3 linked regions of the Oryzias latipes genome follow. The main gene of each other region encodes a partner of the protein of the gene in region 2 in a complex. Links are inferred from orthologs where the notes say so. Each region holds a gene or a part of one and is shown on either strand. Other genes may lie near its edges.

The links.
Region 1: vps54 (region 2) and vps51 share a complex: the UniProt entries of both Homo sapiens proteins name them as parts of the golgi-associated retrograde protein (GARP) complex. The link is inferred for Oryzias latipes from reciprocal best matches to the Homo sapiens genes VPS54 and VPS51.
Region 3: vps54 (region 2) and vps52 share a complex: the UniProt entries of both Homo sapiens proteins name them as parts of the golgi-associated retrograde protein (GARP) complex. The link is inferred for Oryzias latipes from reciprocal best matches to the Homo sapiens genes VPS54 and VPS52.

What each region holds. Positions count from the first base shown.
Region 1 is NC_019872.2:19,788,226-19,792,461, reverse strand, and holds the start of vps51 (vacuolar protein sorting-associated protein 51 homolog), read left to right. Parts: upstream 1-1,416; 5' UTR 1,417-1,670; coding exon 1,671-1,853; intron 1,854-1,990; coding exon 1,991-2,120; intron 2,121-2,197; coding exon 2,198-2,344; intron 2,345-2,428; coding exon 2,429-2,648; intron 2,649-4,236. UniProt on the Homo sapiens protein: Acts as a component of the GARP complex that is involved in retrograde transport from early and late endosomes to the trans-Golgi network (TGN).
Region 2 is NC_019859.2:8,751,729-8,755,921, forward strand, and holds the start of vps54 (vacuolar protein sorting-associated protein 54), read right to left. Parts: upstream 2,838-4,193; 5' UTR 2,640-2,837; intron 1,592-2,639; exon of another isoform or gene 1,465-1,591; intron 1-1,464. UniProt on the Homo sapiens protein: Acts as a component of the GARP complex that is involved in retrograde transport from early and late endosomes to the trans-Golgi network (TGN).
Region 3 is NC_019869.2:3,226,641-3,230,655, forward strand, and holds the start of vps52 (vacuolar protein sorting-associated protein 52 homolog), read right to left. Parts: upstream 2,832-4,015; 5' UTR 2,674-2,831; coding exon 2,578-2,673; intron 2,147-2,577; coding exon 2,065-2,146; intron 1,323-2,064; coding exon 1,270-1,322; intron 868-1,269; coding exon 792-867; intron 381-791; coding exon 313-380; intron 1-312. Other genes in the region: rps18 (40S ribosomal protein S18), read left to right, coding at 2,979-2,981, 3,732-3,830, 3,907-3,993. UniProt on the Homo sapiens protein: Acts as a component of the GARP complex that is involved in retrograde transport from early and late endosomes to the trans-Golgi network (TGN).

The sequences.
Region 1 (4,236 bases), on a different chromosome or scaffold from region 2:
TATTACTTTCTCCTTCATATATTTGTATTTGTACACAAAATGAAATGCTAATCCTGGTTAGGTGTCCTCTATTCGATCTGTCACTTTGCAGAAGCTGAAGTGCCTTTTTCTTTGTACCAAACTGCTCCGTGGATGATTGTTTTATGTTTGCAAATCAGAAACTGTCAGTTTTGTTTTTGTGGGTTAGAACACTTGTTTTGTTATCTCCATATTATTGTGAAAAAGTAATTATTTTCAAGGAAATATGTTGAAGTATGTAATGCAGTTTTGGTCTCCGTGTTTTTTATTTCTTTCCTTTTTTGTGTAATAAATAAATATCTGTAAAGTGTCTTGGATCTCTAAAAACATGTTTTGTGTTTTTCCCCTGAAGTGATGTGAATGTGTTGGTTATTTTACCCAACATAGTTTTGAATGTGATTTTTGATGTGAAACTCTAAACTCAAACCTTTTTTTCTTCCATTTTTTTCAGTTTAGACCAGATTTCTACTCTGGTTTTACAGTTATGCAAAAACTTTATTTGTCAAATGTGTGTAGGTCTTGTTGATGTAATGTATAACACTCAGTTGCTAAGTACTTATGTCTTGTTTTTGACATAAGAAAGTAAGTAGTTGAAATAAATATTATAATAGTCACGATTGGGGGTCAAAACAAACAAAAAACTTTTTTTCTTCTTATAAATTATTGTCAATAAAGCAGCATTCTTTTTTTTCATTAAAAAAAGAGTGCTCCTTTATTTTTTATTTAAACAAAAAAGTGAATTCTGTTGACTAGTTAATGTTATTTAAAGATGGCACGATAAAATTGTGAACATCTCGGCTTGCAAATTAGTTTTAGTTGCCCGATCTTCGATTTCTCGTTTTAAATGCATATTTTATTTCTTAACAACTCCTTGCTTTCAGAAGTAACGATTTTAGGAGAATTTTGAATCCAGTATAACATTTTAATTTTATGTTTCCAAAAGGGATGTTGGTAGTTTTAGTCACATAGTCCTGTCACTGCTTTTCTTTCTTTCTTAATCTTTTATTTTTTTTATATAAATTGAAAATTTCAATATAAATTTATTTCTGGAAAAACAATACCACTTATGCATATAATTCCATAAACTTAGAAAATGTACATCACTCTTTAGGCCACGTTTTCAGTTCTAATGATCTATTTTTTGTGTCCAAGGTCTCTTTTACAATAAAACATTTTATTTAATGTTCAAAGTGGACGGTTTAGAAATAAAACGCTGTTTTTCTTTTGCGGTTGGAAGGACAATGTTTATACATATCGAAAAAAACAGATCTGTATAATGAATATTTTAAATGAAATACAATTAAAATCCCCAAATACAAGCTCAACTTTATGTTGTTTTTCATTGACATGCGCACTGAGGAACATCCGGAAGTCTGCACCGCGCAACCTCAAAGAGAGCGTAACGTTTGATTGGCTACGAACGCGGAAATGACTTCTTCCATTTAGCTGCTTCGGGTGTCAGGAAAAATACTGAAAATATATTCCCATTGATTTAGAACGAATCATCTCGTTCTCATACATGCTTCAGACACAGGAAAATCCGTCACGTTAGAGAGAGAACTGACAGTTGTAGATCTTGCTGAAAACCAGTCAGCTTCGTCTCCTTCTTTTCATTTGACCCGTCTGTGTCTCACAGCTGGTCGGAGCTCGCGATGGACGCAGACACAGACGGTTCTGGAGGGCCAGATGAGTCTGGGAGGAGGCGAAAGGTGCATGGTATGCTGAAGCTTTACTATGGGCTGGATGAAGAAGGAAAGATCAGCGAGAAGTCGCAGTCTCTGGATCCCTGCGACATCAACGGGCCACATTTTGACCCGGAGCTCTACCTCAACAAGGTCTGCCAGTTTCCTGTAAACTCGATTTATAAACCTTCTCGAATCTTCTTGCACATAGCAGAGAAACATCAAAATGCTCGTAATTCTGATCGTTTTGAGGTGACATTTAGGTGACAGTCAGTTTGATGTTTCTTCAGCTCAGGAGGGAGTGCTCTCTGGCTGAGCTGATGGATCAGGAGACCTGCATGGTGAAGCAGATTCGATCTCTGGACAGTGACATGCAGACTCTGGTCTATGAAAACTACAACAAGTTCATATCTGCCACAGGTGAAGAATCCACCTTTAAGAAAACGCCAGTAAGTTACGCAAGCATGAGAAGATGAGCCATCTTTTTTTGTCCACAGACACAATAAGGAAGATGAAAAATGACTTCAAAAAAATGGAGGATGAGATGGACTGCTTGTCTGCAAACATGGCTGCGATCACTGACTTCAGTGCTAATATCAGCGGCACGCTTCAAGATCAGCATGCACAGATTACAAAACTCTCAGGTAAGATTTGATCTCGAATTGTTTTTGTAAATGTCTTTCTTTCTGACTTCATTCTGGTTGTGTCCCTCTGGTGTCTTCTCACAGCGGTTCACACTCTGTTGAGGAAGCTTCAGTTTCTCTTCGAGTTGCCTGCTAGACTGAACAAGTGTCTGGAGCTGAAAGCCTATGCTCAGGCAGTGAGCTTTCACCGCAGAGCCCGCTGTGTGCTCCAGCAGTACAGCCACCTGCCCTCCTTCAAGGGCATCCAGGACGACTGTCACGCCATCATGGACATGCTGGCTCAGGAGCTTCGACAAAGGTTTAGGTGAGGACTGTAAGCCGACAGGAGAGAGTGTAAACGTTGGGAAATGGGAGCAACGGTCCCGCCCACGACTCAGCGATCCGGCGCCGTTATTCGCATGACCCGCCGGGCAGCGTCCGGGAAACCAAAAGTCTTTAGGCACCACCGGCACGGACACAAAAAGGATTGACAGATTGACAGATCCTCGCTGATGAACTCCTGCTGCTCTGCAGGAACTCTTCTTTCTCTTTCGGCTTTTCCCATCAGGGGTCGCCACAGCGAATCATCCTTTTCCACCTCACTCTATCATGGACATCTTCTACCCTAACATTAGCCAACTTCATGTCCTCTGTTAAGACATCCATGTATCTCCTCTTTGGCCGTCCTCTTGCCCTCCTGCCAGGCAGCTCCATCTCCAACATCCTTCTACCAATATATCCACTATCCCTCCTCTGAACATGTCCAAACCATCTCAGTCTGGCTTCTCTGACTTTGTCGCTAACACAGGCAACATGAGCCGTCCCTCTGATGTACTCGTTCCTTATCCTGTCTAACCTGGTCACTCCTAAGGAGAACCTCAACATCTTCATCTCCGCTACCTCCATCTCAGCCTCTTGTCTCTGTCTCACTGCTACCGTCTCTAACCCATAGAGCAGAGCTGGTCTCACCACTGTCTTGTACACCTTTCCTTTGAGTCTTGCTGGCACTCTTCTGTCACACAACACTCCTGACACTTTCCTCCACCCGCTCCAACCTGCCTGCACTCGCCTCTTCACCTCTTTTCCACACTCCCCATCACACTGAACTGTTGACCCCAAGTACTTAAACTCCTGCACCTTCTTCACCTCAGCCCCCTGTAACCTAACGCTTCTACCTTGATCCCTCTCGTTCAGACACATGTATTCTGTCTTACTACGACTGACCTTCATGCCTCTTCTTTCCAGAGCAAACCTCCACCTCTCTAGCTGTTCCTCCACCTGCTCTCTACTCTCACTGCAAATTACAATGTCATCCGCAAACATCATTGTCCAGGGAGATTCCTGTCTTACCTCGTCTGTCAGCCTGTCCATCAGCATAGCAAACAAAAAAGGACTCAAAGCTGATCCTTGGTGTAGTCCCACCTCCACCTTGAACTCCTCTGTCTGACCTACAGGACATCTCACCACCGTCATACTACTCTCATACATGTCCTGAACTACTCTGACATACTTCTCTGCCACTCCAGACGACCTCATACAGTACCACAGCTCCTCCCTCGGCACCCTGTCATACGCCTTCTCTAAATCTACGAACACACAATGCAGCTCCTTCTGACCTTCTCTGTACTTTTCCATCAACATTCTCAAAGCAAAAATGGCATCAGTGGTGCTCTTACGGGGCATGAAACCATACTGCTGCTCACAAATCTCCACCTTCTTCCTAAGCCCGGCTTCCACTACTCTTTCCCACAGCTTCATTGTGTGGCTCATCAACTTTATTCCTCTATAGTTGCTGCAGTTCTGCGTGTCACCCTTGTTCTTAAAGATCGGAACCAGAACGCTTCTCCTCCATTCCTCAGGCATCTTCTCACTCTTTAAAATCCTATTGAACAACCTCGTTAGAAATTCCACTG
Region 2 (4,193 bases):
ACGGGAGATTTTTCCTGTAATCCCCTCATCTCTGTGATGAGATTAACAGCAGAGGGTCTTATACGTCTGTGCTCTTAGTGGTCAGCACAAAACATTAATGCTTCAGTCCAGCGTTAGTCTGCAAGATGCTGCTTCAACGAACCGCTTCAGTGAAGCTCCAGAATTTTCATAGTTTAAATAAGTATTATATCATACTATAATAGGTCAACAGTGACAGTTTTTTATTGCATCTTATTTATATTATACATTACAGAAATGCCTTAAAATAAAATGCTATTTCAGGATATTTTGTTAGGTAAATAATAATTCCATGAGCCTTTATATTTTATTTTTCTTTAAGGCAAGTGTCATCCTAAATGAGTAAAAAAATAAATAAAACCATCAAGTCACAGATTGAATGATTTTAAAGTAGCAGCGCTGTGCGAGTTTCGGTGCATCAGGACTATTTCTGCACACTTTCTTTGCTACATCACAAACATTAATGAGCAAAAGTCTAGGAAAACAAAGTGATGTAATCGAGTGCATAAAAGTGCAAGTGCTATTTTTGACTAAGAATATTTGCAGGAAAGGGAGGAGATGGTTTAGGGACAGCAGCACTGAGTAAAAGACAAGAGAGCGAGCTGAAAATGTTTAGATTCTCTTTGAGAAAGCTGAGGATGGATAGCATTAGGAGGAAGAACACTGGAGTGAGTTCATGTTAAACGTTTAGGAGAGAAATTCAGGCAAATCCAGGCAATTCTGACAAAAGAAAAGAATTAAGGCTGCAGTGAAGAAAACATGAAGATGCAGACTTATTTACCTGGTAACAACCTTTCATTCAACTCAGTTTATTTTACTCTAAAAAGTAGTGACAGTGGTTGTCTTAAAGCAGCAACTCAAAGCATTTAGGCATGTAGACATGATCAAGATGATCTGTGCAGTTCAAAGCGAACACAAGAATGTGATTTAAGTGACTTTGCATGTTGCATTGTTGTTGGTGCCAGATGGGTTGGTCTGAGTGTTTCATTCACTGATGATCTACCATGTCTAGGGTTTATAGAGATTGGATCGAAAAAGAGAAAATATCCAGTGATTGGATAATAGAAGATGGGAAAAACAATAGAAGATTGAAAAAAACGTTGTCTGGTCTGATCAGTCTCCATTTCTGCTGTGACATTCGGGTCTGAATTTGGCATTAACAACATGGATCCATCCTGAATATTGTTGCTGACCATGTCAATCCCTTTATGACCACAGTGTACCTTCTGATGGCTACTTCCAGCAGGATGAAGCGCCATGCCAAAATTAGTTTATGTTCATTGGACTCAAATGGCCTCCACAGTCACCAGATATAAACCCACAGAGCACCTTTGGGATGTGGTGGAATGGTAAATTGGCATATAGATGTGCAGCCAAAAAACTTGCAGCAAATGCATGATGCTATCATCTCAATAAGGACCAAACTCTGAGGAATGTTTCCAGTACCTTGTTGAATCTTTGCCACAAAGGATTAAGGCTGTTTTGAAGGCAAAAAGGGGGGGTCCAACCCGGTACCAGTAGGGTGTACCTAATAATGTGGCTGGTGAGTAATCAAGCATACTGGGAAAGGAACTGATAAGAAATGAAGTGAATGTGAACCAAATACATAACTAAAACAGAAAAACTACATTTACCATCTGATGTGATCAACTCAGAGAAAAGACAGGAAAGAAACAGTAGCTGTGATGCAAAGGTAGGTGGAGGGCCCATGTTTCGAAGGTTGCAGGTTCATTTCCTGCCTTTCCTGCTCGAGTGTCCGTGGGCAAAACACTGATCCCCTCAACCTTTCCACATGGTTAAAGATTATTATTGTAATGCAAAACACTTTTGACCTTAGAAAAGCCCTATATTGATATATAAATAAGTAATTAACAGCCATCATGGCTTCAACATTCATGAATGTAAGAAAGCAGACAAAAAAGATCTGGAGTACAAATGTCCAATGTGCCCTGAAGCTCTCACCACTAGTATCTGTTTTAGTCTGTTTATAGCAAGATAACCAGAAGCATAGTGGGTCACCTGAATTAACCTTAACAATCATCTTTATAAGATTGGTTTTATATAAAAAAAATTCCAGAACTAAAACGGGAAACTGTTTTAGAATTTAAATTAAAAAAGAAAAACTCAAAATGCTAATTTTAGCATTTTAGCTTTGACAACTTTAGAAGACAGAAGCTTTTAACAATGTCTTGACTTCAACTGTAGGCTGAAACTAATTATATAAATGAATACAAAGAGAGTGTATAAACCCACTTTTTAACTATCCCATGAAAGATTAATTAGACTTTTGTGTTACAGTTTAAATGCTCCGACCTGAGCTGTCAGATTTGCTCTGCTGCTAACTAGCTAGCATGAGCTTGTTGGTAACTTTCTCATTTTTCTGTTTTTAATAGAGTTGACATGAAAGTGTACCTTACACACCGATACAAAAACTCGATTATTTTTTAATTCTGCGCTGAAAGAGAAGAATATCGCAGAGTTGCTGTCAAAGCTAAAGCTAATGTTGACGGTTACAAACAGAGCACAGGGCTAATGCTAGCAGAGACAGAAGGAGGTTCCGCGCAGACACCAAACAAGCCGAGATTCGTTTGGCAGCCTCGGAGTACCGGTCGCTCGCCTACCTGTCGTGTGGAGCGCAGCAGTCGGAGTTTCCCTTCTTTACCATCCCAGAAACTTCACAGGAGCCGGGAGGAAAACAAGCTGGCACACTGTGCAGTCAGCACCGGCACTCCGACCATCATGCAATGCGGGGGAACACAGCGACGCGGCTTCTCCTCTTTCACATTCACACACAGACTGTTAAAACAACGCACTCACACCAGTTGTGTCTGTGATTTGAAGCCCAAAGCTCTCTGCTGCCACCTGTCGACCATACCGGTAACAACTGTTTTTCCAGAAAAAAAAAGTTTCAATTATACTTTTCTTTTTTTTAAACCAATTTAGATGCAAATATTGAACAGAACTCAAATATTTAAAAAGGCCTCCTTCTAAACTAATATATTTTTACATATGTCAGTAATTTTAATATAAATATTGGACAAAGATCACTTCAGGTAACAGAACATGCAGTTTTTGATCATTACATTGATAATTGTAATCTGAACTGTTGGAAAAACAGCCTCCATTTTGTTTTACTTTCTTTGTTGACTTTAGAAACATGTTAAAATCTCTGTTTAAATGCCTCTTCTGCTTCTGCTCTGATGAAACAGGATGCAGTTTCTAGAAAGGTCCCGTTTTGTGACAATTCTTTTGCTTAGTTGCGTCTTGGAGTCTCCCATGGATCTATTTTTGCCCAAAAGTTTATGTGAACTTTGACCTGAGCGAGTCATGTTAGGCCTGCCCTTTTGCAGTTTCTTTTATAACTTCCTGGTTGAGTCTTTGTGTAATTGGGCCAGTCTGCATATTTCTAGGAAAGGTTTTCCATCCTTTTGGGTTTATTTCATGTTCTGTGTCTTTGTGATCTTTCATGCAAAGAAACAAACAAAATGATAACGTTTATCTAGAAGGAAACAAACTGTGTCAAAACCTCAGCAGTGTTTTTTATTGTTTTCCGTTGGTACAAAAACAGTCTGAGGCAAAACTGCATAGCTGTGATAACAAACCAAGAGTCATACATAAACGCATTAAAATGACAAAAAGACAAAAAAGTCCATTAACTAGTGGTTAGGTCAAGAGGTGCCTGTTTAGTTAAAAAAAAACAATCTATCTTACTTTATTAAAAAGCTGAACTTCTAGAGAAGAAACAGTCACAGTTAAATGAAGATGAGTATCAGGAATGACCTCATGGGGGCTACTAGAGAACACTATACAGAGTTCAAAACTAAACAATGCTTGTTTAAAACACCTTTTACATTTTTGATTTGGTTGGAAGAAACAAAAAAACTCCTTTTCAGATACTTCCAGTCGCAAGCAGCTTCACAAGTTTCCCATAATGCACTTTTCATATGAATTAAGGTCAAAATGAATAGACAGATTAGGCAACAGTTTACCTGATTTCAGAGAAAGAAGATCCCAGAGTTTTGAGTTACATTTCACATTTTTTGACACTCCAGTGTTGTCCAGAAAATAGATTTTGTCAGATGTTTAGGAAAAACACAGGCAACTTTCCTGCTGTTGAACCGATTCACTAAAGAGGCACAAGAATAAATAGAGGAATTAAACTACAACTTTTGCCA
Region 3 (4,015 bases), on a different chromosome or scaffold from region 2:
ATGGTTAAAATAAATAACCATAATTATGAATAAAACTGTGTGTAGATGTACCTTAAATAGATTTACAAATGAATGAGTGAATCTTTCTGTCCTTTACTCATTTCTAGAAGCCACAACTATAGTTGTTGTTTAATTGTTCCTATTAATATATCTACCTGGAACATTTGAGAAGCAAAAGAAATGTTGTTTTTTTTTTGCATTCATAATCTTCTTCTCACACATATCCAGTTTGTTAAGCTAAACCAAAGCTTGCATCGAGTGTCCGGGAGCAGTTTTCTCAAAGACAGCAGCAGGTCTGAGATCTTTTCTTACCTCCAGTATGGAGTCACAGGCAGTGATCTGGTTATGCAGGAGAGCAATGTTCTGACTCTCCTTAATGTCTGGAAGACAGATAATCAGGAAAACTGTACAGAACATTTCCATAAATAAAACCTTTGTGAAACATTTACTGGCTTCATCTTTTCATTTTAATGGATTAAACCTTTCATACTGCAATGGATTAAAAATGTATATATAAACTTAGATTTCCTATTTAAGTTTTCCCTAAAAAGACAAAAAATTAAATGTTACCGGTTACAAAAAGTTCGATCGACACTCCGTCTTTATTCTGATCTATGTTTATAAGATATTGAAACCAATCAAAAACACACAAAGCCATCTGTAATACCAGATTTAAAAAAGAAATTAGCTGTATATTAATTCAGCAAAGTTAAAGAAAGAAGAAAACTAGCAGAATAATAGTTTGGCGTGTTCTCATTTCAGGTCATTTTTTAACAAATATTGAAGGATACAGTCTTTAATAGATGCCTGCTCAATCCTCTGCAGCTCCGTCTCCACTTGTTTGGAATACTGACGCAGATCAACCCCCTAAAACGAAGGACAATTGACCGGCAGACAGAAAGTCAGCAGTTTAACATTAAACACAACATTCATATGACTAACTAAATTCATCACAGCCATTGTTGTTCTTCTATTAAGAGGTATTGAGGTTTAAAGTAAACTAAAAAGGCAAAATAAACCTTTACTTCTAGAGATTTTCAAAGAACAACAAAAGGATCTCATTGTTCGGATGATTTAAAGCTGTTGCTTGAAATAAACTGAGTGTCAAAGCCTGGAGAGATAAAAATACTAATAAATAATTGTTAACAGAGGCTAATGTCTGGACGTGGAGAAAATCTGCTCTTTGATACATTTAGTTTAAAAAAATCTATTCCTCGTATGACACATGAATGAATTGGTTGTCTTAAACAACTGAGCTCCATGTTTTACCGTTTTGAGCGCCTCCTTCACAAGATCATCCTCCAGATTGGCCTGAATATGAACTGAAAAACAGAAAAAAACCACTGATTTATTACAAAAAAACAGTTTTCAAACAGTGACACTGAAAAGCAATGACGGATTCTGCATTCCACTTTGACTATAAGTTCAAAGAATATAACAGGGGAGTAACAATTCATTTTAACAGTGATTCAATATCTGTGGTTAAGATTCCATTTTGGTTCATTGACCTAAAATAAATCCAGAGCATCTTTACCCAAAAATTCCACCAGTGTGACTCAGAGATAAATATTTGGGTCCGGAACAGTTCAGGGAAAGTTTTCCACATTCATTTTATTTTTTGCAACATAATCTACTGTAGAATAAATATTAAGAATTAATGCTAAATCTATTGACATTTTTAGTTTCCTAAAGTTCAGCCCACTGTTATTTTTCCACATCAACATAATCCAAACATTATTAGAACATTCTAGCACACTGTATGTCTTTGATCAGTTCAAAGTGTTTCCACACATTGGACTGGAATGATGGATTTATTATATTTGGATGCTATCACACGTGTGTATTGTACGCTGTAATGCACTTGGTCATGTTATAGTAGATTAAACCTACCCTGTCTCAGTCCATATGTTCCCATTTCAATTTGATTACTGATTCATCTAATTTCGCAACGATTTTTTAATTGCATTCCTTCCTCAGGCTGATCAATCTGGTTTGATCCTTGAAATACAAATCTATTCATCGATTATTCGTTACACCTGTAGAATTGTAGCAGTTGTTTCTTACCGTCGACTTCATCTAAGATGAACTCGTCTGTGGTGAGATCCAACTCCCCAAGGTTAAGAGTTGGGAAGTCTCCATCAGTCTTCTGAGAAAAAGACACAAAGTAATAAAAAAATATATATACATCCTGATGAGACGTAGACCCCTGCTTAACAAACAAACTATGAATAAAAACTGACTGAAAGAGAAAGTCAGTTTTGTTTGACAACAACTAAGCCTTAATGGACGTGATCAGAGACTAGTGATGCTACGTATTCAGGAAATTGTTCATTGCGGCAAACAAGAAGAGAGGGTAGACTTAAAACAACAGATCCAGACTGGTTCAAATTGACCTTTTATATCACACGTTTATCTGAAATGTTGTACTCTGCAAATACGTTTTAAGGAATTAGACAGTTCTTGACTTGTCTGCCAACAATTCAATTAGTTTCCAAATATGCTAACAGGGCAATCAGACAAATATCCCCCCCCCCCCACACAGACAGACACTAGACTTCTAAAATCAGTAAATGTCACCTCGTTTTGGAGATACGACATTGCTATTTCTGTTGGATTTCCTGATGTGTTTACATCCGATATCGCTCCTATGTTTGCTGCCGCTTCCGCCGCCATATTGGCAAATTGTGTAGATAAAGGAAAAAAAACGTTCCACCCAGTTAGTTACTGCAGCATTTTTTTAGGCATGATAAAAAGAAATGTCACATATAAATCTATCAGGCAAATAGGCAAGAACTTTTATTTTTATGAAGTCTATTTGATCAAAGTGAATCATTTTCGTGTCCATATTTTTTATTTTAAAAAAACAATCAAGTCCCTGCCGGACAAGTTAAACACCGCGGACCAACTTCCGTTTCCAACCACCTCAACCTCTCGCGAGAACTCCACGACTTCCTCTTTGCACGGAACCGACATCCAAGATGGTATGAAACATTTTCTGGCACTGTGAAACAGTCTTGAAATCTAGAGTAATCCAGCTTTATTCGCAAATTCTGTCCTTAAATCATCGGTGTTTTCAAACATTTATTCGACAGCGAAGCTATAGAATAGAATATTGGCTACACAATCATGAAGATGTTTTGTAGGAAAAGCGATTGAAAATGTGAGCGCCGACGGACTCTAACCGGCTAGCATTTCCTATGTTAAAATTCTGATGTTGCTCAAATTAAAGTTTTAAATACTCGCAACATTTCCAATACAACCTAAGTATTTTTAAACTGTCTCCCCAATTTGGTTGCGAGTTTTTTCTTAATTGAAACTGCTTGTGCGATCATGTTTGTAGGCTAATTTAGCCGTGATACTAGGTGTTGGGATTGCATGATATTTTCTAGCTAATGTGATCTGTACAAGATAATACAAACACTGTTCCCTTTGTGTTTAACAACTGCTTTGTTTTGGCCCTGCAAAGCCACCGTTTAGGCAACTTGTGTCTTCAAGCTCATGTATTAGCTTACCATACATACAGAACCATACAAAAGTATCTGATCAAATTACTGTAAGGTACAAGTGTTTTTTATGCTACCAAGCAATATTGAGCCATTAGAATGTTTTGTGTATGCATAGTTTCAGTTATAGTAGAGCATCACTTATAAATTTCTCTGATGTTGGTACAGAATGAGGATCATTTGAAGGATCTCACATGTTCAACTTTTGTTTTTGTTTTTTGTTAATAGTCTCTGGTAATCCCCGAGAAATTCCAGCATATTCTTCGTGTACTCAACACGAACATCGATGGTAGGAGGAAAATCGCCTTCGCCATCACCGCCATCAAGGTAATCTGATTGTGGGACTATTCATGTATCTGCAGAAAATACAAAAAAGTAAACGTTATTGTCTATCTGGTTACAGGGTGTTGGCAGACGTTACGCCCATGTTGTCCTGAGGAAGGCTGACATTGACCTCAACAAGAGAGCTGGAGAGCTAACGGAGGAGGAGGTAAGGCGGCAATGAATTCTCT